Sus scrofa: one gene and its partners. The protein of the gene in region 1 interacts with the protein of each later gene in a pairwise test. Links are inferred from orthologs where the notes say so. Each region holds a gene or a part of one and is shown in the gene's direction. Other genes may lie near its edges. The genes, in order: PNMA1, TEAD4, FBXL18, SUV39H2, MAB21L2, SEMA4C and ARID5A.

Region 1 (4,376 bases):
ACAGCTAAGGTACACACCTATCCCTTTGGCTACTCCACTTCCACCCCTGGCACAGAGGTCGTGTGCTGCTTATGTCTAAAGGGATCCCCTATATTTAACTGCCTCAATGACCTAACCTCTTTCTTCTCATGTGCCAGATGTTAAGATGAAGGAGGAATACAACACATACACAAGCCTCAGCTGTTTAAATATGTTTTTACCGGGGCTCAGTTTTCTCAGATGGTATTTATTACCAGTGGCAAGCCTAACTCCTTAGGTTTACAGGAAGTATGCATATTTTTATAAAACAATTGTATGTCCTCCCCATATTTTGCTGTATTAATATTTGCCTCTAACTAACAATTTGCAGCTGTTTCACCTTTTCCTCATTTGTCTCTTAGTCAAAGGCCTTGTTGGAGGGGACAGAGCACAGGAACAGCCTTGATAGTCTGTAATTATTGTACAAATATTTTAATAGCATATAAATAAGTATATTCCTTTTATTTTGAAAAAATCAGACACTGCCTTTTGTGTGTTTGCTGCCTGTGGCACCCTTTTTTAAAAGACTGTTACATATTAAAATAGTGTACATATATATAAATATTACCTCTTTTGCTGTACAGTTGTGATAGACCAGACGGAAGATTTTATTTTTTGTGTGCTTTTTATAAAAAAAAAAATTAACACACTAAAGAAAATCTTGCTGATGTGATTGTAATGTACCTATGTAACTTATTTACTTTTGAATGTTCTTCTGTATCTTTAAACCTTTTATTAAATAAGGTTTTAAAAATTCAGAGTTGATTTCTGTGTCCTTTGGGGGAAAGATTTATTATCTCACCATCTGGGATTGTAAGTGTGCCTTGGTTTGCTTCCAAAGGATACTTGACATTTTTGAACCATAAGGCCTGTTTTATCCATGATGCCAGGGCAGGGGAAATAACACATTAGTGTTTGCCGGGTTACTATTCATAGAGATCTAGATCTTTTTACAACATTTTAGACAAGAAGAAGTCTCAACTCACTGGGATAAAATTTAGAGGGTGCAGAGTGCAGTCAGGTGGTACAGGGTATTATACAGCATTGCCTCTGAACGAGCGACGCGAGTAGACAAGTCTTTCTTGACGGCCGGATATCATCTTAAATCCACTCCAGAATTATATTATCTTTTAAACACAGTGCTTTGTTAAGAAAAAAAAAAATCTGGAAAATGCGAAAAAGGAAATGCGCGGTAAAGGAAATTAACGCCCGCGGCCCCGAGCTGCCACCATGGCAACCATTCGCCCCTGCAGGCCGCTAGAGCTCCGGCGTCTCGCGTCGGTGGTTGCCGTGGCTACGGTCGCGCGGGCAGGGCCGCGGGGGGCGGGGCGAGGCGGGTCGAAGGCCGGCCCCGCCCTCCACTGCGGCAGTAAAGGCTAGGCTGGCTGCGGGTGGGACCGAGGTACAACTGTGCAGCTCCAGCCCACCTCGGCCCGCGGTCGCCTGCGTGCGGGGCTGCCGCGGCCTGCCTGCGACTGCGCCTGCGCCTCCTCTAGCCTGGCTTCCGCGTCTTTCCTGCGCCTCTGCTGCCTGTGTTCTTGGTCCTTGGCGTCCTCGCCGCCCAGAGGGATACGTTTGCCCACGAAGAAGCTCTCTCGGGTTGGCCTCGCTGCCGCCGCTGTCTTTCCCTTAGGACAGTCTTTCCCTCCGGGGGCGGTACTAGTTCTTGTCTGCGGAGAAGCGGCTCCTAGCTCGTCTGAGGCGTGCTCCGCTCTGGCAACGAAAGCTTGCACCCTCTGGGAGCAGCAGCGAGTGCCTGGCGCCCAGGCTGCGAAGAGGCGGCCACGTCCCGCGATCAAGCCCTGCGGCTCCTGCTTTCGCCGCCCGCCTTTTTTCCTCGCCTCTGCGCTCCGACGCGACACCTTCCTGTAAGTGGAGGACCCGGCCTGCGGATCCCGACCGGAGACACAAGATGGCGATGGCCATGTGACTGAGCATCCCCGAGGCTTCGTTCCGAGAACGCGGAGGCCTGGCTTTGAGGGGCAGCGAAAAGAGGAGAGCAGGACACTGGTGTCGTTTGTTAAACGTGATTGACTCCCTCGGGCATATGGGGGGAGGTGGCGGTGGGAGCGTCTGCTATTGTCTTCAGTTTTAGAGCACAGGGAGCCACAGTCTAATTGTATTTGTAGAATTGGGGCCCTTGATAGTTGGGAAAATGGCGATGACACTGCTGGAAGATTGGTGTAGGGGGATGGATGTGAACTCCCAGAGAGCCCTTCTGGTCTGGGGGATCCCTGTGAACTGTGATGAGACCGAAATCGAAGAGACCTTTCAAGCTGCGATGCCCCAGGTGCCCTATCGAGTGCTTGGGAGAATGTTCTGGAGGGAAGAGAATGCCAAAGCAGCCTTGTTAGAGCTCACTGGTGCTGTCGATTATGCTGCGATCCCCAGGGAGATGCCAGGTAAAGGAGGGGTCTGGAAAGTAGTCTTTAAGCCCCCCACTTCCGATGCTGAATTTTTAGAAAGGTTGCACCTCTTCCTAGCAAGAGAGGGGTGGACCGTGCAAGATGTTGCCCGTGTCCTTGGGTTTCAGAACCCCACTCCGGCCCCAGGCCCCGAAATGCCGGCAGAGATGCTAAACTATATTTTGGATAATGTTATTCAGCCTCTGGTTGAGTCCATATGGTACAAGAAGCTGACGTTGTTCTCGGGAAGGGACATTCCGGGGCCAGGGGAGGAGGCATTTGATCCCTGGCTGGAGCACACTAATGAGGTCATAGAGGAGTGGCAGGTGCCTGATGTAGAAAAGAGGCGGCGGTTGATGGAGAGCCTTAGAGGCCCTGCCGCTGATGTCATCCGCATCCTCAAGACCAACAACCCTGCGATTACCACCGCTGAATGCCTGAAGGCGCTGGAGCAGGTGTTTGGGAGCGTCGAGAGCTCTAGGGATGCGCAGGTGAGATTTCTGAACACATACCAGAACCCGGGAGAAAAATTATCTGCTTATGTGATTCGTCTGGAGCCTCTGCTGCAGAAGGTGGTTGAGAAGGGGGCCATAGATAAAGATAACGTGAACCAGGCCCGCCTGGAGCAGGTCATTGCCGGGGCCAATCACAGCGGAGCCATCCGAAGGCAGTTGTGGCTGACCGGGGCTGCTGAAGGGCCGGCCCCCAACCTCTTCCAGTTGCTGGTGCAGATCCGCGAGGAGGAGGCCAAGGAAGAGGAGGAGGAGGCTGAGGCCGCCCTCCTGCAGTTAGGCCTGGAGGGGCACTTCTGAGTCCCAGGAAAGGGGGCGTTAGTTCAGACCTAGATCACGGCTGCTTTCATTGTCTCTGTGATGTCTTACAGGTGTGTCTCCTGCTAGTAAAGACTAAGCGGTGTTTTTTGTTTTTGGGCGGGAGTCCGGCCTGGGTATTCATGTGTCATTAGCACAATCGTGCAGGGGAGCACCAGATCTGCTGCAGCGCTCGTGGGTCATGCTAGCTACAATGCCAGGGAAAGGCTTGGACGTGAGTCCTCATTGCAAGCTATCATCATGGCACCATCATCGGTTGTGAAAAATGTGGTCTCGTGACTCTTCCCATCAAGGTAATTAAATATGAAATTGCATGTTCAGATGTATAATGAGTGCAGGGCCTGGATACCAAAAGAACTGTTCAGTAAAAAATGTCAACTGTTTACTCTTAACTGTGGTGAATAGTTTTTGTGTCTACCGTAAATTGTTCCTGGTTTATATTAATGGAAAGAAATGTGAATAAGGTATTATTCAGCTTTACAGTGCAGATTTCTTACTGTACATCTTTAAAGATCTAGATCAGTTTAATTGAAAAGTGTTCTGAGACTACAAAATGGGGTGTTAGAACGATACTGCGCTTACAGGGCTGTGTAAATCAAGTTTTCACTGTGTAAGATGCAGATATAAAATGCATGGGGAGGTTAATAGGAACCAGTTACAGCATCTATTCCCCCATTTCAAATCTTTGTCATTGAAGAGTAGTTTACCATGTTCATGCTGATTCTAAATGTTTTAAATTCGAAGTTATCAAATACATGTATATTAATAAAAATATTTTTTAAATTCTCTTATTTTTCTGCAACATATAAAAATTTTCAGTGTAATTAAGCTCTGTATCTTCATTTTTTCAGGAAGATTTCCCCCATCACTAAAAAAATCCCCCAAACCTTAATTATTTTACTTTAAGCTTTATATCATACTAAGTTTAAATTGCAGTACTTTTTAATATATTCAATTTCTGCATATTTTCTACAAATGTTAGAAGGCAAAATAGTGAATATTAACTTATTATAAAATGTTATAACATCCTGAAATAGGGTTCAGGAAGTTATCTAGCAATGCTTTTTCCTCCCCTTTCAAATTCTTTTTCAGCTAAAAATGTTTCACAGGAATAATAACTCAT
Region 2 (4,231 bases), on another chromosome or scaffold:
AAACGAGGGATCCGAGCTGCGTCTGCAACCTACACCACAGCTCACAGCAACGCCAGATCGTTAACCCACTGAGCAAGGGCAGGGACCGAACCCGCAACCTCATGGTTCCTAGTCGGATTCGTTAACCACTGCACCACGAACCATTTTTAAGTGTGCAGTTCAGTAATGTTAAGAGCATATTCAGAGTTCCCGTCATGGCACAGTGGAAATGAATCCGACTAGGAACCATGAGGTTGCAGGTTCGATCCCTGGCCTCGCTCAGTGGGTTAAGGATCCGGCGTGGCTGTGGCTGTGGCGTAGGCTGGCAGCAACAGCTCCGATTTGACCTAGGCTGGGAACCTCCATATGCCATGGGTGAGGCCAGACAAAAGACAAAATAAAGCATATTCATGGAGTTCCTGTTGTGGCTCAGTGGGTTAAGAGTCCAACTAGTGTCGATGAGGATGTGGGTTCGATCCCTGGCTTCTTTCAGCAGGTTAAGGATCTGATGTTGCCACAAGCTACAGTATAGGTCACAGACATGGCTAGGATCTGGCATTGCTGTATCTGTGGTGTAGGCCTGCAGCTGTAGCTCTGATTCAGTCCCTAGCCTGGGAACTTCCATATGCTGCAGGGTGGCCCTAAAAAACAAACAAAAAGATTTTTTTTTCATTTTTAAGGCTGAATAACACTCCACTATACGTAGAGACCACATTTTATTTAGCCATTCATTTGTCCATGGACACTTGGGTTCTTCTGTCCCTTGGCTGTGGTGAATAATGTTGCTTTGAACATGAGTGTCTTTGAGACCCTACTTCCAGTTCTTTTGGGTATATACTCAGAAGTGGAATTGTTAGGTGCTATGGTCATTCTCTTTGATTTTTTGGTTGGCCCTCCATGCTGTTTTCCTAGCGGTCACACCATTTTACATTCCCACCAACAGAGCACAGTATTTTGTATGCTCTTGGCCCTTTTTGGTCTAATGTAGAACATCCATGGTACTTGGCCCTCATCTAACTTCTCAGCCCCATCTGGGTTCCTAGAGCCACAATCAGACAGTGCCTGGTTGCTGAGCTCCTTTGATGGGGTGGGGAGCTGAGGTCTGTGGAGGGGAGATGACCTGCCCTTGACCAGCCCCTCCCCACCCCGCCCTGCCCCGCCCACCTCACTCTTTGCCCCATGGGATTCCCTGGCTTTCCCCTTGAGCTCCTGGGCCATGAGCACCAGGAAAGGAGAAGCACCTGGTTCAGGGGTGGTGCTCCCTGGGTTCCCCCACCCCCTTGTCCACACGTTCATCCACCAATGCTGTGCTTTCTGCCCACCCAGGTCCAACGGGCGCTCCTCCAAGCGGAGCCTTGGAGGGCAAGGCCGGCACCATTACCTCCAACGAGTGGAGCTCTCCCAACTCCCCCGAGGGGAGCAACGTCTCTGGGGGCAGCCAGGCTTTGGACAAGCCCATTGACAATGACGCAGAGGGCGTGTGGAGCCCCGACATCGAGCAGAGCTTCCAGGAGGCCCTGGCCATCTACCCGCCCTGCGGTCGGCGCAAGATCATCCTATCGGATGAGGGCAAGATGTACGGTAAGGAGGCTGTCAGTGTTGGGCAGCAGGCCCGCCAGCTCATGGTCCAGCCCCAGGAACAGCCTGGGCACAGCAACCCGGTTCCCTCCAAGTGATGGAAAGAGGTGACCTCTTGGGGCTTGTCCTGGCAGACGCTGCTTTACTCTGTCCTAGGCTCCCAAGGGCTGGGAGGCATCAGGGGAGACACCTTTGGGTGGCTGTGAGGATGGAACTTGGGAAAGCCTAGAACATCCCCCCGGGGCAGGCTGGGAAAATCCCTTTAGCCACCCCCCAGGCAGATGCCTGATCTCCCAGCTTCCCACTGTGGCTGTGAAGGCCTTTAGGAAGGCGGTCCTGGTTCACTCCCTCATTCATACCTGGGCCTTTGGTGTGCCAGGCAGGGGCGGGGCAGATCTAGTCCCTTCTCATGGTACGTGGGGGTGGGCATACAGGTAACTGTACACAAGGCGTTGAGAGTGTCCCGGGGTTGGGGGGGGGTGAGGACCACCCCCCTGCAGGAGTGTGCCCCTTAGCTGAGAGCCATCAGGGAAGGCGTGGTCTGGGGCTCCACACGCCCTCTGCGTCATTGTCAATGCAGGACACAGAGGCACTTTGTCCCGCAGACCCTGGGAAGGAACGAGCCGTCTGCCTGGGCTGTGTTGACTTTGGGATGGAAGAGAGGGTATCTGGGAAGCAAAATGAACACGGAACAACTTTTAGAGGCTCCGTTCAGGCTTCCATTGCCATTGGAAAGTTCCCTGGGACCCCCAGCCTGAAACACTGGGACTGGGTAGGAGCTGTGGGGATCTCTGACTGGCTGAAGCCCCTGTCCACAGAGGGTCTTGCCCTGCTTCCCATGAGATGGCTCTGGGCCAGTGCCCACCCCCACGTGGGTGCCCCTCCCCCAGCACAGATGCCTCATCAGCTGACTGATCTCAGCTCCTAGGGCTGCTGTAAAAAACCACCTCGAATTTCAGGGCTGCCTTAAGATGACAGACATGTATCCTCTCCCGAGTCAGAAGGTTGAAGGTCTGAACTCAGGGTGCTGGGGGTTGGCTCCCCTTGGAAGCTCTGCCGGAGGATCTGATCTGTGCCCCCTCCCAGCTTCTGGGGGCAGCTGGAGGCCCTTGGTGTCCTTGGCTTGTAGCTGTAGCACTTTGGTCTCAGACTCTGTTGTCACATGGCCGTCCTGTCTGTCTGTCTTTGTGTGTCCTCCTCTTCTAAGATACCAGTCGTTGGATATAAGGCCCCCCTTAATCCAGTGTGCCCTCATCTTAGCTAGTTAATTCTGTAAAGACCCTGTTTCCTGGAGTTCCCTGCTGGCCTAGTGGTTAAGGATCCAGTGTTGTCACTGAAGCAGCTTGGGTCACTGCTGTAGTGTGGCTTTGATCCCTGGCCCAGGAACTTCCAGATGCCATGGGCAAGGCCAAAAAAAAAAAGATCATTTCCAGATACGATTACATTCTGAGGTTCTGGATGGATGTGAATGTTGGGGGCGGCGGGCGCTGTTCCACTCTGTTCAATTAACTAAACTCAAATCTGCTTTGTGACTGGTCTAGGGAGCCAGCCCCACCTGCTTGTCTTTAATCTGCACCTGCCCTGCAAGGGCAGGGATTCCTTCTCCTGCTGGAGGAAGCAAGGTCCTTTCGAGCTAGACCCCAGCTCTGCTCCTCGGTTACCTGTTACAGCTGCTCATCCGACTTTACCAGCCCCTCCGCTGAGGCTCTGCGGGGCCCCCACTTCTGCGGGTCTCCACGCCCTGGTTTGGGCTCCCCTGGCACCTTGCTCTAACCACGTCCTGCTCCAGTGGTTGCTTCTTACTTTGGGTCCCCATGGAAGCTTCACGGAAGAGGCAGCCGCTGTGCGCAGAGCAGCTGTGGGTGCCAGGGGTGGGACCTGCTTTAGGTAGGCTCTTCCCGTGGAGCTGGGTGGCCTGGGCTCTTCCACGGCTTGATGGAGAGTGGGGTGCGTGTTGGTCATGAGCTGAGGTGTGACGGTGACGTCGTGGCGGGGGTGTGGCTGGAGAAATCAGGGTCCCTTGATGGGGCAGTGGTCAGTGCCCAGGCGCCTAGCAGGATTGATCTTCCTGCTTTAAAAGGACACATGGCCTGGCAAATACAATTGTGTTCGAGGCGCTCGGTGTGGGGAGAACGCTGAGGGTGCTGCCTGTTGGGGAGGCCCCGGTGGTGGCAGGTCTGGAGAGCCAGCAGACAGTCCTCGCGTGCCACAGTGGGACCCACTGTTTCTTTGTTACCCATTCTTAAGTGTACAGCTCAGTGGCATTAAGTACGTTCACATTGTGGTTGAGCAGCCATCCCCACTGCCCGTCTCTAGAACTTTCTCATTCCCTCCAACTGAAACTCTGTCCCCGCTCAGCACTGGCCCCTAGGTCCCTCTCCCGCAGTCCCTGGTACCCGCCATCCAGTCTACCGCTTTGGCTAGAGCTCCTCCAGGGCCCTCATATACATGGAATCACACAGTATTTGTCCTTTTGTGCTGGCTTTTTCACCTGACATCATGTCCTCAGGGTTCCTCCGTGTCATTTCAGGTGTCAGGATGTCCTTCCTTTTTAAGACTGAATCACCTTCCACTGTACGCACGAGCCGGTGGTGTTTATCCGTTCACCCAGCTGATGGATATCTGGGCGGATGCGTCCCTTTTTCTTAGTGGTGACAGGTGGATGGTTCTATCC
Region 3 (3,768 bases), on another chromosome or scaffold:
CTCCTAACTGTTACTGCTGTTTGGGAAGTGATGCCTCTGCAACCTGGAATGAGGCCCCTGAGAGCTCTGGTTCTTTCTGTGAGAGACCTGTGCTCCTCCCCTGTGGGGGCTGAGCTTACTCCCCGAAGTGCAGGGTCAGGCTTCTGCCCGCAAGGGTTCTTTCCTGGATGGGATGGGGCGGGGCAGGCGCCCCAGCACAGACTCTTTGGAGCGTGTCCTTCGCCTGCACGGTTCCCTGGGTGGACATTTGCCCTGAGAAGTGATCAGAAACGTACACGGATGCTTGATGCTTTGTTTTCCAAAGGCCCTGGTGGCTGCTGGGCCCCGGCTGGACATACCGTGGCTCTCAAGCAATCCGGGCCAGGTGGTTTTTTTGGATGGCTTCCCCAAGATACATGGAGTTCCTGGGCGGGTCAGGGATCCAATCCGAGCCGGAGTTGTGACCTCTGCTACAGCTGTGGCAGTGCCAGACCCTTAACTCATTGCGTGGGCTGGGGTGGAAGATCTGTCCTGGCGCTGCAGAGACACCATCAGTCCCGGCTGTGCTACAGCGGCAACTCCCGGGCCAGATTTTTGAGGAACACTCATCACTGTGAAAGCACATGTCATGTAAAGGAAAGTAACAGGCAGAGCCTTCTTCCAGGACCTGCTTCCTTTGTGTGACTGGGGAAAAAACCCGCTTAACATGAAGCTTAACTGTCTTAACCATCCCCCGCCCCCGCCATCCCCAGGCACATGGAGCTCCTGGGCCAAGGATCAGATCTGAGCTGCAGGTGCGACCCGAGCCGTAGCTGTGGCAGTGCCGGATGCTCAGCCTTGTGTGCTGGGCCAGGGATGGAACCCACGTCCCGGCGCTTCCAGTGATGGCTGTCGTGCCACAGCGGGAGCGCTGCCATCTTGACCGTTTTTCAGTGTGCAGTTCCAGAGCCATAAATACATTCGCTCTTTGCAAAACTTTATGCCTCTAAGCAGACCCCCTGCAGCTACGGAGCAGTCCGTCCCATTCCCCTTTCCCCGGCCTCTGGGGACCTCTGTTCTCCTTTCCGTCACTGATGCTGCCTATTCCGGCAGTTTCATGCAGCATGTGGCCTGTGACTGACTGAGCGAGGATGGCGCTGACTGAGCACCCTGTCCTCAAGGGTCACGTAGCCGCGTCACAGCTTCGCGCCGGCCCGTGGGGAGTGGAATTCCACTCAGGGATGGGCCCCTCTTCCTCCCTGGACGGGTGGCGGGGTTGTTCGTGAGAGCAGTGCGGCCGCGACCGTCTGTCTCGGTCTCCGCTTTCAGTCCCCTGGGAGCACACCTGGCCGAGGGGTTGCTGGGTCACCTGGTGACTGTGTGTCGCCTTTCCAGGAGCCCCCAGACTTGTCCGCAGGGGCTGCCCCTCCTGCCGGCCCCTCCTGCCCGGGGCTCCCGACGGTTGCTGGAGGGGCGGAGGCCCCGGTTCTGGCCCCGAGTGTCCCTCCTTAGCTGGAGAGGGGCCGGGGTGGCCCCCTGACCGTCGTGGGGGAGGGCACGCCCCGGGGGAGCGAGGGCGGTGGGGGCGGCTGGCGCCTCAGCCCCTCTCCTCCTCTCCCGCCCTGCCCGCAGGCCAGCGAGGACAAGGTGAAGCAGCTCGTGCGGGAGATCGGCCGGGAGGTGCAGCAGCTCAGCATGGCCGGCTGCTACTGGCTGTCGGGCGCCACCGTCGAGCACGTGGCCCGCTGCCGCGGCCTGGTCAAGGTGAACCTGGCGGGCTGCCACCTGACCTCCCTGCGCCTCTCCAAGGTGCTGTCGGCCCTGCAGCACCTGCGCTCCCTGGCCATCGACGTGAGCCCCGGCTTCGACGCCAGCCAGCTGAGCAGCGAGTGCAAGGCCACGCTGAGCCGCGTGCGGGAGCTCAAGCAGACGCTGTACACGCCCTCGTACGGCGTGGTGCCCTGCTGCACCAGCCTCGAGAAGCTGCTGCTCTACTTCGAGATCCTGGACCGCACACGCGAGGGCGCCGTCCTGTCGGGCCAGCTCATGGTGGGCCAGAGCAACGTGCCGCACTACCAGCACCTGCGCGTCTTCTACGCCCGCCTGGCGCCCGGCTACATCAACCAGGAGGTGGTGCGCCTGTACCTGGCCGTGCTCAGCGACCGCACGCCCGAGAACCTGCACGCCTTCCTCATCTCTGTGCCCGGCAGCTTCGCCGAGAGCGGGGCCACCAAGAACCTCCTGGAGTCCATGGCCCGCAACGTGGCGCTGGACGCCCTGCAGCTGCCCAAGTCCTGGCTCAACGGCTCGGCCCTGCTCCAGCACATGACCTTCAGGCGGCCCTTCTACTTCAGCTTCAGCCGCTGCGCCCTGTCGGGCGGCCACCTGATCCAGCGCGTCCTCAACGGCGGGAGGGACCTGCGGAGCCTGGCCAGCCTGAACCTCAGCGGCTGCGTGCACTGCCTGGCGCCCGACTCCCTGCTCCGCAAGGCGGAGGACGACATCGACAGCGGCATCCTGGAGACGCTGGTGGCCGCCTGCTGCAACCTGCGGCACCTCAACCTGTCGGCCGCCCACCACCACAGCCCCGAGGGCCCCGGCCGCCACCTCTGCCAGCTGCTGGCCCGGCTGCGCCACCTGCGCTCCCTGTCCCTGCCCGTCTGCGCCGTGGCCGACTCGGCCCCGCGGGCCGACCGCGCGCCCGCCCAGCCCGCGATGCACGCCGTGCCCCGCGGCTTCGGCAAGAAGGTCCGCGTGGGCGTGCAGACCTGCCCCAGCCCCTTCCCCGGGCAGGCGGGCCCCCAGCCGGCCTCCGTGTTCTGGTCGCTGCTGAAGAGCGTGCCCTTCCTGGACCGCCTCGAGCTGATCGGCTCCAACTTCTCCTCGGCCATGCCACGCAACGAGCCCGCCATCCGCAACTCCCTCCCGCCCTGCAGCCGGGCGCAGAGCGTCGGGGACTCGGAGGTGGCTGCCATCGGCCAGCTGGCCTTCCTGAGGCACCTGACGCTGGCCCAGCTGCCCAGCATCCTGACGGGCTCCGGGCTGGTCAGCATCGGCCTGCAGTGCCAGCAGCTGCAGTCCCTCTCACTGGCCAACCTGGGCATGATGGGGAAGGTGGTCTACACGTCGGCCCTCTCGGACATGCTGCAGCACTGCAAGCGGCTGAAGGACCTCAGGTGAGGGCGCCTCTGTGGGCGCCGTGGGGAAGGGGGCGCCGGCAGGCGTTTGCAGGCCTGCCGAGACAGGCGGGGTGCAGACCCGCCCTCCAGGGGCTGAGAGTCTCGGGGCGGGGGCGCCTGACGGGTCGGTGTGCGCGGCACGTCATCCTGGCCCCTGGGGCGGTCACGAGGGGGACGTCAGTCTTAACTACAGAGCGGAGGGGGTGGGCGTCACACCTGGGCATTCTACCCAGCTTTACCACTGTTTTGGGGGGCGGGGAGAGGGGAGCTGTACTTTTTTTTTTTTTTTGTGGCATATGTAAGTTACTAGGCCAGGGCTCAAATCCAAGCCACATATGCCACCTACACCACGGCTGTGGCCACACCGGATCCTTAACCACTGCACTGGGCCAGGGATTGAACCTGCATCTCAGTAGCGACTGGCAGAGTGGGGAAGCCCTTGTGGCCCAGGGCTTCCCCAGGAGCAGGGCTGTGACGGCAGCGTGACTTTGTGGCTGGGGTCAGCTGCAGGACTCGGGACAAGTGGGTTTTGTGCGCTGGCCCGAGAACCTGACCGGCACCCATAATGGGTTCTCTGTGTGCCCTGGCTGCCGAGACCACATCTGATTGGAGCTGGGACCTGCCTGCCGGG
Region 4 (3,734 bases), on another chromosome or scaffold:
TCCTCAAATAGAGGAGGAAATTAATAAGCAGAAGAGTTAGGCAAAAAGTTCAAGTATTAACACACAACTCTGTTTCTTACAGGAGAAAACACAGCTAAATTTTAGGATATATAACTAAAGATTGCTTGTATTCTCTTAAAATGTAAATGTTAACATTTTTTTAAAAATGTTAACATTTTTATTAAAGCATTTGTAGAGTTTTGAAGTATTTAGGGCTCTTTTTCTAAATTATTAATTAGTTTTCTTAATTCCTGTTTGAAAAGAACTTAGAGTACAGTTGGATCCTTAACTCCAGAATCTTATACTCTATAAAAGTTATTTCCAAAAATAAGGGAGGTTAGGAGTTACCAGACACCTACTACTTGCTAGATGGATAATATATTAGGCTTGTGAGAAGAACATTATCTCCATTTCATAGATTACAGGGAAAACGTGTCTTAGTAAGTTCTAGAGCTGACCATATAAGGAAGTAGACCATGTTAATCTTTTGGTGGATTTTTTAACAAGAAACTAGTTGATGATTAGCAGTAAAATGTCAGAGACCTTCTGACTCCTTTGTTTTTTGGTTTACTTAAACATTTAATTTTTCCTTAATGATAAAATTGAGATTCTCTCAAAATAGATTTATTCTATTCAAGGACAGTTAAACAATTATTTTGGTTTCTTAGCATGATTCACTGGATCTTTCTTGCATATGCCAGAGCTTAGCATAGAGAGTAATTCCAAACAAAAGTTTAAGAAATAAGGAGTTCTTGTCATGGCGCAGTGGAAAGGAATCCAACTAGGAACCATGGGGTTGCGGGTTCCATCCCTGGCCTTGCTTGGTGGGTTGGGAATCCGGCGTTGCTGTGAGCTCTGGCGTGGGTCACAGGCACGACTCAGATCTGACCGCGATTGGACCCCTAGCCTGGGACCCTCCATATGCTGTGGGTGCAGCCCTAAAAAGACAGAAAGACCAAAAAAAGAAAGAAAGAAATGAAACTCCCCCGTGCAGTATGCAATTTGAGGTCTATAGTGCTGATTTGATTTAAAAAAAAAAAAAAAGTTACTTAGGTTCCTTAGATATGCCTTACTAAAATATTTACAGGTGAAGTGATAATGTTACCTGATATTTGCATTTAAATGCTTCAAAAAAAAAAGTTGGGACTGGTGAATCAAGATTGACAAAAATGTTAGTAACAGTTGAAGCTTCATAGTGAGATATATGTGGACTTATTATATTATTTTCTCTAGTCTTATATATGTTTGAAATTTTCTATAAAGGATCACAGTATTTTTAAATGTGCATACCCAAGAGACCTCTAAACAACAAGTAACTTACTTTTGAGTAGAATTTAAACTAATGCTCTGGGAAATTAAAAGGTTTTATATGGCATGTAGAAGAGCTCGTTTATGTTATTTTTACTTACATGGGTTCTCATGTTGCTTTTTAGTGTGACCCAAATCTTCAGGTGTTCAATGTTTTCATTGATAACCTCGATACCCGTCTTCCCCGAATAGCATTATTTTCCACAAGAACCATAAATGCTGGAGAAGAGCTCACTTTTGATTATCAAATGAAAGGTATGGTTTTCAAGTACAGTTTCTTAGGTGGTGTTTCAGTGTGAAGAGTCTAATCAGAATAGAAGACCTGAAAGTATCTGAACCAAACTAATACTAAGAATGAAAAAAATGAGGCTATGAGAGTTTGCCTTCGCTCAAGGGCACAAAGCTAATCTGACGGGGCTAACGCTAGAATCCAGGACTGCCTGATGCTGGGCTGAGTGCTGCTCTTCTGCATCGCATTGCTGCCTGCTTTTTTCAGAACTTCTGTACAGAAGCTTCTTTATTACAGCATCTTTTCTCAATATTACTTGTATTTAAAAATTTTTAAATCTACATTTCTGAATGTTTACCGATATATATTCAAAAGATTGAAAATGTGATTTAAATCATGTATGAACTTACTCCATTCCTACTTGAATTTGGCTTTTATAAGAACATTTAATTCTCTCTGCTTTACTGTGGCAATACATGTTTTCTTTCCTTTGTTTTTCTAAGTGTGATGCCCTTTAGATATTGTTACTACCTGACCTTGCTTTATGGCTCCTAAGTAATTTATGAAATGAACGCTTGTATTTTGGATTTAACGTGTAAGTTTTATAGTTTTGCAAACCTACTCTCACAAATATGGGCTAATAACATACACTGTACCTCTTACTAGCCCACGCCATCCTGTCCAGTTCACAGTGATTTGTCTCTGAATATTCACACTTACTTAACAACTGATAAAAAATTTGAAACTCATTCTGAATTATCTTAACTCTTTCTTCTCTATTTCTTTTTCTATGTATTCAGGTTCTGGAGATATATCTTCAGATTCTATTGACCACAGCCCAGCCAAAAAGAGGGCCAGAACTGTGTGCAAATGTGGAGCTGTGACTTGCAGAGGTTACCTCAACTGAATTTTCAGGAAATAGAGCTGAAGATGATTGTAGTTTTTTTTCTAATGTTAACATTTTAAAAAATAAGTATTTGGGACTTTTTTCACATTATCAAGATTATACACTATGTTAATTTACAATTCATGTTTCACACGATTGGCCAAATGCATTACTGATGTTTCTGAAGAGAGGAACACAAGGTCACATAGACTAATTTGAAATATACATATTCAGTGGTTAGATGCCAAATATGAAAGGATTATAGATTAGCATATATACACTTAAAAGGTCTGTGTGAATAGCAAATGCCTCCTTCAATGTTTAAGTGTTAAACTGATAATGTAAGAGTCACTAAGATGAAACATCGAACTTGCCATACATCTTGAATTTAGAGAAATAGAGTTAATTCATTTTGGGCAAATATACAAGCTCTATTTTTGTTATTATGTTGTCATTCCTGTTTATCTACTTACTACTCATTGTTCTTGTATTTGAGACAAATAAGTTATACTGAATTATACTCTATTTTCTACTTTCATTAAAACATTGGGATCTTAATATACAGAAATTTAAGTTCTATAATTAAATGTAAAAAAATTTTAATTACAGCTTGATTTCATATTTTGAAAGACTCAAGACCACTAGGAGGGATGGTTGTCTGAACCAGTAATTCTTAAAGATTTTTTAATCCTGTATAAGAAAAATATCCAAAATGTCCTCCCTAAAATTCTGGGACACCTGGCTATTACGCTTCTTTGAAAGGATGAGGCGGTGGGACCAGGAGGGTTTTTTTGGAGTGCCAGGCAGGGGAAATGGAGCACTTGAAGGGCCCTCTTGATAAGATGAATTAGGAGGTCCATGCTGAGTACCTCTGGTCTCCACAGTAAAATAGGATTGTCCCTGAGAGCAGCTGCATCTAGTGGTAATGTTTTTCATGATAATTAACATCTGAATTTCAGGCAGTTTTAACATTTCCCTTCCACCAGATGTAATTATTTTTATATTTCCTACAAGCCCTTCTTAAGAAGTAATCTATATTTTGAACTGATACTTCCTTTATATATGAATTTTTTCAGTGTGATAAAGCTAAACTTGGCTTGGCCAAAGTGTGTGTCTGAATTATAAGACCATTTATTACTTGAACTTTTAAGACTGAAATGAAATATTTTCATTTTTGTGAGTTTCCTGTTGTTTTGTTCTTTTTTTTTTTTTTTTTCCCTACGTAGTGAAACCTCAGCCGGATAAAACTGCATTTTCATCTCTTTCTGATCCTGGGATTTCTAATCATGGTGTCCAAAATGAAGGTGAATG
Region 5 (4,320 bases), on another chromosome or scaffold:
ACCGGCTTCATAGATTTTTATTGTTACAGCATTATCTGAGAATTTAAGATGCAAAATCTAACTAAAAATATTCCCATATACTCGACTTGTCTTAAAAAAGACTCAGAATCCACACATCTGAGTTCAAACATAAACCTTCAATTCTAAGCAAATCAGAAACACTGCTACAGCTTTTTCAACCATAAGTACCTAAAGGCTACCAAGGGTAGAGCTTGAAAGGATAATACAGATACTAAAAGCACAAGCATGAGTTTCACTGAAATGCCAAGGGAGGAGTGAAGCCATCTGTGTAATCAATAACAGGATAGTTATAGATTTCTGCAGCAGTGAAGTCTTTTAAAAGCAAGAGTCTATAAAGAAAATAAAATGATTTTACAAATGAAACTGTAATGTCTGAAAATATATTCAAAATTAGGTTTACAACATTAACATTTTAAGAAAACTTTAACTCAGGTTCACATTTACTTCCCTTCATTTTTATTACATTTAAAATAATTTTAGTGGCTTAATATAAAAGTATATATTCAACAAAATTCCACCATATATAAATCTGCACCATTTCTCACAACTTAAACATATTCTAATAACGAGTTAGTCCTTGTAACAAAGTAATAACATTAAATATATCTGAATCTTAATTATGAGTAATTATGAAACAAGGTGCCTGCACTACTTTTGCCCTGCCCAGTTTTTCAACAGCATATGGAAATTACTGAAAAGAGATTTATGATTATAAATCCTCACCCCATGTCTACCCCCCCCCAAAACTGGTGCAACAAATACAGCAATTACTCTGGGTCTTGGCAACAATGGGAGAGGATGGGAAAGAAAGGGAGGAAGACTCTGCCAGAGTAAAAAATCTAGAAAAATTTAGGTCCTTTCCCAGATTGCCCTTCCTCCTCCCATTTGCCTTCAAGCCAAAGTAATTTTGTTAGAGTTTGCACCTTCTTCACAATGTTGATAGGAAAAAAAAAGTGAACCTTTCTGAACCACTGCTACTCTCCCAGCCATCTCCAAGAAGTCCCTTCTCTATACTCTTTTTCTTCCTTGCAACTGTTAAGAGAGGAGGATAAAAAGAAGGGGCTGTAAAATGCGTGTGAGCATTCGACTTCTACTATCTCCTCCTATTTTCTTACTTCTCTTTACCCCCTTTCTTTATCAAGTGCAGCGGTGGCTGCTACCGTTTGCCAAGCATGCCTGTCTTCTCTCTCGGATTGGCTAAAGCACTGACAGCTCGGATAGCGATTGTAGGAACTAAAGCTCCACCCCCTTCATGATGGCCCAGGACCATTCATAAACTAAATAACTCCAGGAAACAGCAAGGCAGAAAGAGAGAGAAAGAGACAGAGACAGAGAGAAAGAGAGAGAGAGAGACTCAGAGAGAGAGAGAGAGAGAGAGAGAGAGAGAGAGACTCGGAGAGAGAGGGAGGGAGAGGGAGAGAGATTTGAAGCGAGAGGGAAAGAGACATCAGAGGGGAGGAGGGAGAGACGACTCAGAAAGTGGAATCTGCACAAGCAACCTAAAGGGGGAGGAGAGGAAAAACCCTCGAATCGTTATAACTAAACCCCAGATGCAAAGCAAGCAACGACCTCGTCACACTAAAATAGACTTTGTGAGGGCCAAAATTATAAATTACGAAGCAGAAATGAATATCAACCAACTTCCAGCAGTTTGCACCTAAGACAGACAAGAAGAACCCACTGCAAACAAACCAACCCAGTCCAAACAACGCCTCCAGTAGGAGAAGAGGAAAACCACTACAAGAGGACCCCCTGAGAAGAGACCAGACCCACACGCTGAGAGCGCAGGCGTCTGCGAACCTCCGAACCTCCGTGCCGCGGACGGAGGTGCACTTCACTGCTCTCTGGACATTAATTACACCCTTCACCTTCCATTCGGGGGAGGGTTAGGAGAAAAGCACTCACCTAAGCTGAATGAAGAAGGGCGACCAGCGTGGGGGAGAAGTTTAAGAATGAAACACTGAATGTTTCGCTTTTATTTTTAAATTTACTCTGGCACTTAAAAGACCTGATTTCCAGATTCCCGGGCCATCTCTGATGCAGACGTCTAAGCCTAACCTCTTGGTAACCTGAATTTTTCTCTCTCCCCCTGCCCTTTTCCCTCCTCCCCTTCATCTCTCCCGCAGGCACATCTTTATTTCGCTTATCAAGAGAAAGCAAAAAAGTCTCAGCACGTACTTTTCTTTTTCAAAGATCACCTTTTTTTTTTTCTTCTTATTTTCTCGATAAGAGAAAAGCTTTTGAAAGAGAGCGAGACAGCTGAAGCACCAGCTGGCCAGCCCAGGTGGAAAACAAGAGTGAAAGTGGGGCTTAGTGGGAGCGCAGCGCCTCTTTCGCAAGCCGCAGGGCCACCACCAGCGCTTGAGCCTTGGATCCCTCAACGTACTGCGAGACGCCGGTGTACAGCCCGGACCTGTGCCCCAACATGATCGCCGCCCAGGCCAAGCTGGTCTACCAGCTCAACAAATACTACACGGAGCGCTGCCAGGCGCGCAAGGCGGCCATCGCCAAGACCATCCGGGAGGTCTGTAAGGTGGTCTCGGACGTGCTCAAGGAAGTGGAGGTACAGGAGCCCCGCTTCATCAGCTCCCTGAGCGAGATCGATGCTCGCTACGAGGGGCTGGAGGTCATCTCGCCGACAGAGTTCGAGGTGGTGCTCTACCTAAACCAGATGGGCGTCTTCAACTTCGTGGACGACGGCTCGCTGCCCGGCTGCGCAGTGCTCAAGCTGAGCGATGGGCGGAAGCGGAGCATGTCTCTCTGGGTCGAGTTCATCACAGCGTCCGGCTACCTCTCTGCGCGCAAGATCCGCTCACGCTTCCAGACGCTGGTGGCTCAGGCGGTGGACAAGTGCAGCTACCGGGATGTGGTCAAGATGATCGCGGATACCAGCGAGGTCAAGCTGCGCATCAGGGAGCGCTACGTGGTGCAAATCACTCCTGCGTTCAAGTGCACCGGTATCTGGCCTCGCAGTGCGGCCCAGTGGCCTATGCCCCACATCCCCTGGCCCGGCCCCAATCGGGTGGCGGAGGTCAAGGCCGAAGGGTTCAACTTGCTCTCTAAGGAGTGTTACTCCCTGACCGGCAAGCAGAGCTCTGCGGAGAGCGACGCCTGGGTGCTACAGTTCGGTGAAGCTGAGAACCGCCTGCTGATGGGCGGCTGCCGAAACAAGTGTCTCTCCGTGCTGAAGACGCTTCGGGACCGCCACCTGGAGCTGCCAGGCCAGCCGCTCAATAACTACCACATGAAGACGCTGCTGCTGTACGAGTGCGAGAAGCACCCGAGGGAAACAGACTGGGACGAGGCGTGCCTGGGCGACCGGCTCAACGGCATCCTGCTGCAGCTCATCTCCTGCCTGCAGTGCCGCCGCTGCCCTCACTACTTTCTGCCCAACCTCGACCTTTTCCAGGGCAAGCCCCATTCGGCCCTGGAGAGCGCTGCCAAGCAGACCTGGAGGTTGGCCAGGGAAATTCTTACCAATCCCAAAAGCCTGGATAAACTATAGGGTGCCAGGGACTGCTTGAAAAGCGACACAAACGGGAATGCTCTCAGACACACAACACACACAACTGGGCGACCAACAGCGGAAACTCCAGACACAAACTTTTTTGTGAGCCACCTAAAAGGAAGGAGAACCCAACAGAAGACCCTCCCTAATTAACGAGCGAACAAAAGGAGAGCAAACCAACCAACCAAACAAACAAAATCACATTCTTGCACAAAAGTGATCGTTTTCTTCCGAACAATGTGAATTTAAAAGGTCACACAAAAGAAGCAATCGGGCTTTGCCACCACAAAATGAAACCCAAGGTACATTTTCAAATCAAAGTATTGTAGTTTCTCCCTTTTACTTCTCTCTCTCTTTCTTTCTCTCTGTCTGTCTGTCTTCAATTTGTTTTGGGTTGCCTGAATGTTGTCACCAAGTGAAAAAGTATTTAATTATATGTAAAATTTCTCTTTTAAACAAAACTTTGCTGATGTTAAATGTATCTCAGTGCCAATGTCAGATGTGCCCCTCCCTCTCTCGCACCTCTACCCTCACCTTAAGCAGTCTTGTCGAAAACAGTAATAAAAATATTACTTTACGTTGTAATTGACTGTTTGTGGACTGTTCTTAAATGAAGGCAGGTGAGATCAAAATTTCTAATTTACAATGTAAAGATGTGAACCGGAGGAACTAAAGGCAAGAAGCTGCCATCTTAATTCTAGTTTTCCAAATTTACAATTGTAGCACGTTTTGTAGATTTAACCATTCAAGTTATCACCAAAATCTTTAGAAAAGAGAAAATATTACTTTTG
Region 6 (3,607 bases), on another chromosome or scaffold:
TGCTCAGGCAAGTCCCAGGAATGAGTGCTGATGGAATCTGGGCCCTGCAGGCATTAGGCTCTATATCTGGCCTGGTCCCCACGGGGCTGCGTTCCCAGGACGGGTCCTCGGCACCTGCACCCAGTGCCCTCAGACCCCTTGGGGTTGCACCAGGCCTCTGCTACTCATGGCCTCTTCTCTGATGGCGCCCCTACTGGCCAGGCCTCAGGCTGCCTTGCTTCATGACGTGATGGCCCCTTTCCCGCCAGTCTGGACCCTGAAGTGCTGCTGCAGCTTCCCCATATGCTCCGCTCTCTTCTACCATACTTGGGGGGCTTCTGTCTGCTCGCCTTTCAACAACTCTGGTGGCTCAAATTGTTCCCCAGAACACGGAAAAATGGCAGAAAGTCCATGGTCGAAGAAACACACGGAATTGACCATCGCCCCTCAAACAGAGGAAAAGGCCTCATGCTCTGCTGGTGCTATTGTGAGGCTGACTGGCCCTGCGGAAACTGTGCTTCCTGCGCTATTTATACTTTCCTGGAGTTTTGTGTGTGTGTGTGTGTGAGTGCATTACACTTCTTGGCCTCCCAGGTCCGCCATTCTGCTCTAAGAAGGTCACACCCGTAAGGTGCTTAGGATTGTGGCTGGCTTACAGTAAGCCCTCTGCCTGTTCTTGGTCCTCAGATTTCCCTCCTCAGGATGTGGGCACCACCCTCTCCTCCCTGGGGCAACTTTTGCCCTTGTGTCCCCAGCAAGGGTCCTAGCTGTGTCTGCCCCGCTCAGCCTCCCTCCTGTGTTTCTCCAGCAGAAGCTGCTCTTTGCGGGCTCCCGCTCCCAGCTGGTGCAGCTGCCCCTGGCCGACTGCGTCAAGTACCGCTCCTGTGCTGACTGCGTGCTGGCTCGGGACCCCTACTGCGCCTGGAGCGTCAACACCAGCCGCTGCGTGGCCGTGGGTGGCCACTCAGGGTGCGTGGGGCTCTGCTGGGCCCTGGGGCTGGGGGGAGCTGCAGCCAGGACACTGACGGCCTCTGCTTCCCCCACCAGATCCCTGCTGATCCAGCACGTGACGGTCTCAGACACCTCGAGTATTTGTAACTTCCGGGGCAGTAAGAAAGGTGAGCTATCTTTTTAGTCCCCCTTGGGGTGGGGGGGCTTGGCTGAAGTGCCTGCACGCCCCCCACTCCCCCCACCCCACCCCGGCCCTGAGTTTCCTGCACTCACTCTCTGCTCTGCTTTCTTTGCCGCTGCAGTCAGGCTCACACCTAAAAACATCACGGTGGTGGCAGGCACTGACCTGGTGCTGCCCTGCCGCCTCTCCTCCAACCTTGCCCACGCCCGCTGGACCTTTGGGGGCCGGGACCTGCCTGCGGAGCAGCCCGGCTCCTTCCTCTATGACGCCCGGCTGCAGGCCCTGGTGGTGATGGCTGCCCAGCCCCGCCACGCCGGGGCCTACCACTGCTTCTCCGAGGAGCAGGGGGCACGGCTGGCTGCTGAAGGCTACCTGGTGGCGGTGGTGGCAGGCCCGTCAGTGACGCTGGAGGCCCGGGCCCCCCTGGAGAACCTGGGCCTAGTATGGCTGGCTGTAGTGGCCCTGGGCGCTGTGTGCCTGGTGCTGCTGCTGCTGGTTCTGTCGCTGCGCCGGCGGCTGCGGGAGGAGCTGGAGAAAGGTGCCAAGGCTGCAGAGAGGACCCTGGTGTACCCTCTGGAGCTGCCCAAGGAGCCCACCAGCCCCCCGTTCCGGCCCGGGCCCGAGACAGATGAGAAACTCTGGGACCCTGTGGGCTACTACTACTCAGACGGCTCCCTCAAGATCGTGCCTGGCCACGCCCGGTGCCAGGCCGGTGGGGGGCCACCGTCCCCACCCCCTGGCATCCCCGGCCAGCCCCTGCCTTCTCCAACCCGGCTCCACCTGGGGGGCGGGCGGAACTCCAATGCCAATGGTTATGTGCGCTTGCAGCTAGGAGGGGAGGACCGGGGCGGCCTCGGGCACCCCCTGCCCGAGCTGGCTGATGAACTGAGGCGCAAGCTGCAGCAGCGCCAGCCGCTGCCGGACTCCAACCCCGAGGAGTCCTCAGTATGAGGGGACCCCTCCACGCAGCAGCGGCGGCGATGGCGCGGGAGGTGTGCTCCCACTTTTGCACAGGCACCAGCTACCTCAGGGACATGGCGCGGGCACCTGCCTGCCACCGCCCGGCCATGAGGACCTGCTCTGTCAGCATGGGCACTGCCACTTGGTGTGGCTCACCAGGGCACCAGCCTCACAGAAGGCACCTTCCTCCTCTGTGAGGGGCTGTGAATCACGGACGCATGGGACCCCAGCAGCCAAAATGTTTCAAGGCAGAAGTTGGAGACATGGGTGTGCTTGTGTATATACGTGTGTGTGGGTGTGTGCATGTGTGCGTGTGCGACATAGTCCTCCTGTTTCTGTCGAGTCTTCCCTTGGTGTGGGGTGGTCCTGGTGGGTCATTGGAGCTATGAAGGGGAAGGGGTTGTATCACTTTGCTTCTCCTACCCCCACCTGTCCCCCGTGCGGGCCAGCCATGTACATATGGGGGTGGGTGGGGCAGGGTGCTGTGCCCCTTTGGGGGAGCACAGGGCTCTGGGGTGGGCCGGGTCCTGCTCCCAGGGCTGTGAATGTTTTCAGGGTGGGGGGAGGGAGATGGAGCCTCCTGTGTGTTTGGGGGAAGGGTGGGAGGGGCCGCCCCCTTGGCCCTGGCGTTCTGTGGTGTTTCCTACTTGTCCTCCGTGATGGGGCTGGGGAAGGGTATGGGGGGAGGGGGGAGGAGAGAGGGTGGGCATGCTGTGGAGGGTGTATCCTCTCCCAGCCCTAGGAGGAGGGCTCCTGACAGTGTAACTTATTGTGTCCCCACGTATTTATTTGTTGTAAATATTTGAGTATTTTTATATTGACAAATAAAATGGCGATAATGAAACTGTTCCTGTCATGGAGATAAGACATTCAGGTTAAAATAAAAATTAAAAAAAAATAAAACTTGGGTGCCAAGAGGGAGGCTGGACTGTCCCCACGCCCAGTCCAGGGGTGGCTGCCCCTTCAGTGGTCCCTTCCTGCTGGTGCCCCTCTCTGGAGCAGGGAGAGCCCAGGCTCCAGTGTTTTCCCACAGTGGTGGCTCAGACTGGGCACCAGACCAGGGCCACAGCCTCTGGGGAGCCAGCCTTGGCTTCTGGCCATAGGGAGAAGTCAGGGCAGGAGGGGAGGAGGGGCCTGGCCTCCCAGAACTCTGGGAGGGGGAAGTGGGAGTGAGGGTGGGAGGAGGGGAACTTTCTAGAAGCAGTTTAAGGTTGTGTGGACTAGCTTGTGCGAGGGTGAGGCTCCCAGCCAGCTTGGGGCAGGAGAGATTACTTCGAGCCCTACACTTGGGGAATGCTAGTTTGTTTTTTTTTTAACGTATTTTGTATTTTTTAAAAGATTTTTATTTTTTCTATTATAGTTGATCTACAATGTTCTGTCAATTTCTACTGTACAGCAAAGTTATCCAGTCTCTCCCTCCTCACCACACACATTCTTTTTCTCACATTATCCTCCATCATGTTTCATCACAAGTGATTGGATATAGTCCCCTGTACTATACAGCAGGATCTCATTGCTTATCCACTGGGAATGCCA
Region 7 (3,262 bases), on another chromosome or scaffold:
GAAGAATGTGTACGATGAGCTGGGGGGCAGCCCGGGCAGCACCAGCGCGGCCACGTGCACGCGCCGCCACTACGAGAGGTACGGCTGGGCCCCCAGGTTATGGGACCTGGGCCTTTCCCTCCCAGGGCTGGGCCAGTGGGACCCTGGCTGGGGAGAGAAGGGCAGCAGGCCTCCTGGACAAGATGAGGGGGGGCGGGGCCCCCACGGCTGTAGGTGGTGTGCGCTGCTGGGCAGGGGTGTGCATGGTGGGGGTGGGGAGGAGGCCAGGTGGGCTTGGAGCGGGGCAGGGTGTGGCACCCCCCGCCAACCCTGGCCTCCTGGTGGACGTGCCTGGCTCCTTCTCAGGCTGGTCCTCCCATATGTGCGGCACCTGAAGGGGGAGGATGACAAGCCACTGCCCCCCTCCAAGCCCAGGAAGCAGTACAAGATGGCCAAGGAGGCTCAGGGGGACGATGGTGCCACTGAGAGACAGAAGAAAGCCAAGGAGGAGAAGCAGGTAGACCAGGTGAGCTCTGAGCCTGGCTGGGGCCCCTGGCCATACCGGGTTTTCCCATGCCCTGCCGCTCACGGCACCCAGACCTGCCCCGAGGCCAGTCCCCAAGGGGCTGCAGGGCCCTGTGGTGGCTGTGTGTGTTGTTTACTACTTGAGGGCCCTCAAGTACATGTGGGGTCTGAGCTCGGGTCTGCACCGCACTCACCAGTCCCTGTGTCCTGACACCAGGCTGTCCATTCAGAGGATGGGATGGCCTTTTGAAAATTCTGCACAAAGGTACTAGAAGGGCTAACAGAGGCTCCTGGGTACTCACTTGGGACTGCTGTCACCAAGTCTCCGGGACAGGATCCTTGGCTCAGACCCAGGCCTGAGGCTTGGCCTTTTCTCATTCTAGATGACACCAGGAAAGACCAAAACAGACGCCCCCGACCTAGCAAGGCTTCCCAGCCAGGAGCCCCCCAGGGACAGCATGGAACAGCCAGGCCCAGCCCCTGGGCCCTCTCTGCCCTTTGTGGGTGCCAGCGGCTGCCCTGAGGCCTACAAGAGGCTCCTGTCCAGCTTCTACTGTAAAGGGACACATGGTATCATGTCACCACTGGCCAAGAAGAAGCTCCTGGCCCAGGTGAGCAAGGCAGAGGCCTTGCAATGCCAGGAGGGGGGCTGTCGCCATGGGGCAAGTGGGGAGCCCCAGGTGCCCTCAACTGTTCAGCCCCTGGAGAGCCCCCAGAGCCCAGGAGGGCTGGCTGAGAACTCCAGGCACCAGCTGACACCTCCGGAAGGGGTGCAGGGCCCTGGTGGCAGTCTTAGGGAGGAGGCTCAGGTGGGGCCTCGCCCCTCTGCCCCCACCTTCACCGGCTGCCTCCACACCTACTCTTCTGAGGTGCTGAAGCCCATCAGCCAGCACCCCCGGGACTTCCTCCCCAGTCTTAAAGATGCGGTGTTACTGGGGCCCCCTGGCAAAGAGGAAGGGCTGCCGACCAAGGAGCCCCAGCTGGTATGGGGTGGGGATGCCAACCGTCCGTCTGCATTCCACAAGGGCGGCTCCAGGAAGGGCAGCCTCTACCCCAAACCCAAAGCCTGCTGGGTGTCCCCCATGACCAAGGTCCCTGCTGAGAGCCCTGTGCCCACCTTCCCAAGCAGCCCAGGCCTGGGCAGCAAGCGCAGCCTGGAGGAAGAGGGCTTGGTTCATGGTGGCAAAAAACTGCGGGCAGTGTCTCCTTTTCTTAAGGAGGTGGATGCCAAGGAGTGTGGGACCAAGTCTGTAGGGCCTGGCTTGGCTGTCTCCTGCCTGCTGGGCCCAGCCCTAGGGCCCACCTTCCCAGAGGCCTACAGAGGTACCATGCTGCGCTGCCCACTGAACTTCACTGGCACCCCAGACCCCTTAAAGGGCCAGGCCCCACTCCCCTTCAGCCCCCTGGTCATCCCGGCCTTCCCGGCCCACCTCCTGGCCACTACAGCGCCCTCGCCCATGGCCGCTGGCCTCATGCACTTCCCCCCAGCATCTTTCGACAGTGCCCTTCGCCACAGACTTTGTCCGGCCTCGTCTGCGTGGCACGTCCCACCTGCCACAACCTATGCAGCGCCCCACTTCTCTTTCCACCTCAACACCAAGCTGTAGGCCTGAGCCCGCAGTGCTGTGATGCAGTGCGGGGTCCGATGCGGCCCGGGATGGGGAGGCACTGCCGGAAGCTCTGGGCTGGAGCCCCCTTCTCAGGAGAGCTTGGCTGTGCCTAAGGCAGGGATGTCGCCCTGGCTGGGCAGCCTGGCACAAAGAGAGGCAGTGGGAAAACTGAGTTTCTCTCTCAAGGAGGCAGCCGGAGCCTGAGGACCATGGGCCCCATGGTTGCAAGGCCTTGGGAGAAGACAGTGCAGGGCCGACCGCTCCTGGCCAGGGCCCCAGAGCAGAGGCCCGCAGTGGGGTGAAGGGCCAGGGGGCTGGTCAGCAGCTTGAGGTGTCCAGGCTGCCCATGGAAAATCCAATAAAATGCCTGTGGATTCACGCAGCTCTGAGGTGTATGTGGTACAGACCTTCACAAGAGCAGCGAGGTGCGGGGGTGGGGTGTGTTCATGGGTGGGGCCCCAATGGGGTGACAACCTGGGATGTCATCAGCCCACTGAAGAGCAGGACGCAGGCTGTGCCCTTCACCGCTTGGCTAGTCGAGGCTCAGGACAACTGCCTGGTACCTTCCTCATGGCGTAGGCAGGGGCCTGGGGCTCAGTGGGGACCTGTGACTTGCCTAGGTTCCCCCCGGCAGCTAAGTGGTAGAGCAGAGCTGTCGCTCAGGTGTGACTCCAATGCTCTGAGTGGAGCCACAGGACCCAGCTGGCAGGAGGTGTCCTGGAGCTGCTAGCAATGCTCCTGGGAGCAGAGGGTGGGAGCAGAAAGCCAGAGTTAGTCTGCCTTGGTGGTGGCCTCACTTGTGGGGCTGCTGCTGAATCTTCCTGGTGAGCTCCCCACCCTACCCCCAACTTGCCTGCCAGATGGCGGGAGAGGGGCACAGGAGGGTCCCACTGGGGGGCGCCTGGAGGGAAGAGGAGGGGGAGGGACGGGGCCAGAATCTCGGCCTGGGCATCTGCCTTTTTTCAGATGTGGTTGCTCCAGAGGCCGAAACCCGTAGCCGAAGGCCCTCTTTCGTCCAGCTTCTGCCTGGTGGGCAGGGCACCCCCACCTGTCTCAGTGGCGGGGGTGCCTTGTCAGAGGCTGCGCTGCCCTCCCTCAGGCTGCCTGTTCTCAGAGGCTGGGCACAGCTGCCTGCTGAGCTTCATACA

What was found.
Region 2: the proteins of PNMA1 (region 1) and TEAD4 interact in binary tests that used the Homo sapiens proteins (3 or more experiments, as listed by UniProt). The two-hybrid records come from large-scale screens. The link is inferred for Sus scrofa from reciprocal best matches to the Homo sapiens genes PNMA1 and TEAD4.
Region 3: the proteins of PNMA1 (region 1) and FBXL18 interact in a two-hybrid assay, tested with the Homo sapiens proteins (2 studies listed by BioGRID). The two-hybrid records come from large-scale screens. The link is inferred for Sus scrofa from reciprocal best matches to the Homo sapiens genes PNMA1 and FBXL18.
Region 4: the proteins of PNMA1 (region 1) and SUV39H2 interact in binary tests that used the Homo sapiens proteins (3 or more experiments, as listed by UniProt). The two-hybrid records come from large-scale screens. The link is inferred for Sus scrofa from reciprocal best matches to the Homo sapiens genes PNMA1 and SUV39H2.
Region 5: the proteins of PNMA1 (region 1) and MAB21L2 interact in binary tests that used the Homo sapiens proteins (3 or more experiments, as listed by UniProt). The two-hybrid records come from large-scale screens. The link is inferred for Sus scrofa from reciprocal best matches to the Homo sapiens genes PNMA1 and MAB21L2.
Region 6: the proteins of PNMA1 (region 1) and SEMA4C interact in binary tests that used the Homo sapiens proteins (3 or more experiments, as listed by UniProt). The two-hybrid records come from large-scale screens. The link is inferred for Sus scrofa from reciprocal best matches to the Homo sapiens genes PNMA1 and SEMA4C.
Region 7: the proteins of PNMA1 (region 1) and ARID5A interact in binary tests that used the Homo sapiens proteins (3 or more experiments, as listed by UniProt). The two-hybrid records come from large-scale screens. The link is inferred for Sus scrofa from reciprocal best matches to the Homo sapiens genes PNMA1 and ARID5A.

What each region holds. Positions count from the first base shown.
Region 1 is NC_010449.5:97,048,815-97,053,190, reverse strand, and holds PNMA1 (paraneoplastic antigen Ma1), read left to right. Parts: upstream 1-1,333; 5' UTR 1,334-2,173; coding exon 2,174-3,235; 3' UTR 3,236-4,041; downstream 4,042-4,376.
Region 2 is NC_010447.5:67,164,658-67,168,888, reverse strand, and holds the start of TEAD4 (transcriptional enhancer factor TEF-3), read left to right. Parts: upstream 1-1,309; 5' UTR 1,310-1,334; coding exon 1,335-1,560; intron 1,561-4,231. UniProt on the Homo sapiens protein: Transcription factor which plays a key role in the Hippo signaling pathway, a pathway involved in organ size control and tumor suppression by restricting proliferation and promoting apoptosis.
Region 3 is NC_010445.4:4,068,178-4,071,945, reverse strand, and holds part of FBXL18 (F-box/LRR-repeat protein 18), read left to right. Parts: intron 1-1,590; coding exon 1,591-3,134; intron 3,135-3,768. UniProt on the Homo sapiens protein: Substrate-recognition component of the SCF (SKP1-CUL1-F-box protein)-type E3 ubiquitin ligase complex.
Region 4 is NC_010452.4:46,875,741-46,879,474, reverse strand, and holds the end of SUV39H2 (histone-lysine N-methyltransferase SUV39H2), read left to right. Parts: intron 1-1,433; coding exon 1,434-1,563; intron 1,564-2,337; coding exon 2,338-2,444; 3' UTR 2,445-3,013; downstream 3,014-3,734. UniProt on the Homo sapiens protein: Histone methyltransferase that specifically trimethylates 'Lys-9' of histone H3 using monomethylated H3 'Lys-9' as substrate.
Region 5 is NC_010450.4:78,384,970-78,389,289, reverse strand, and holds MAB21L2 (protein mab-21-like 2), read left to right. Parts: upstream 1-1,281; 5' UTR 1,282-2,446; coding exon 2,447-3,526; 3' UTR 3,527-4,114; downstream 4,115-4,320. UniProt on the Homo sapiens protein: Required for several aspects of embryonic development including normal development of the eye.
Region 6 is NC_010445.4:56,757,921-56,761,527, forward strand, and holds the end of SEMA4C (semaphorin-4C), read left to right. Parts: intron 1-787; coding exon 788-948; intron 949-1,026; coding exon 1,027-1,097; intron 1,098-1,232; coding exon 1,233-2,062; 3' UTR 2,063-2,915; downstream 2,916-3,607.
Region 7 is NC_010445.4:46,700,864-46,704,125, reverse strand, and holds the end of ARID5A (AT-rich interactive domain-containing protein 5A), read left to right. Parts: coding exon 1-78; intron 79-345; coding exon 346-505; intron 506-887; coding exon 888-2,111; 3' UTR 2,112-2,498; downstream 2,499-3,262. UniProt on the Homo sapiens protein: DNA-binding protein that may regulate transcription and act as a repressor by binding to AT-rich stretches in the promoter region of target genes.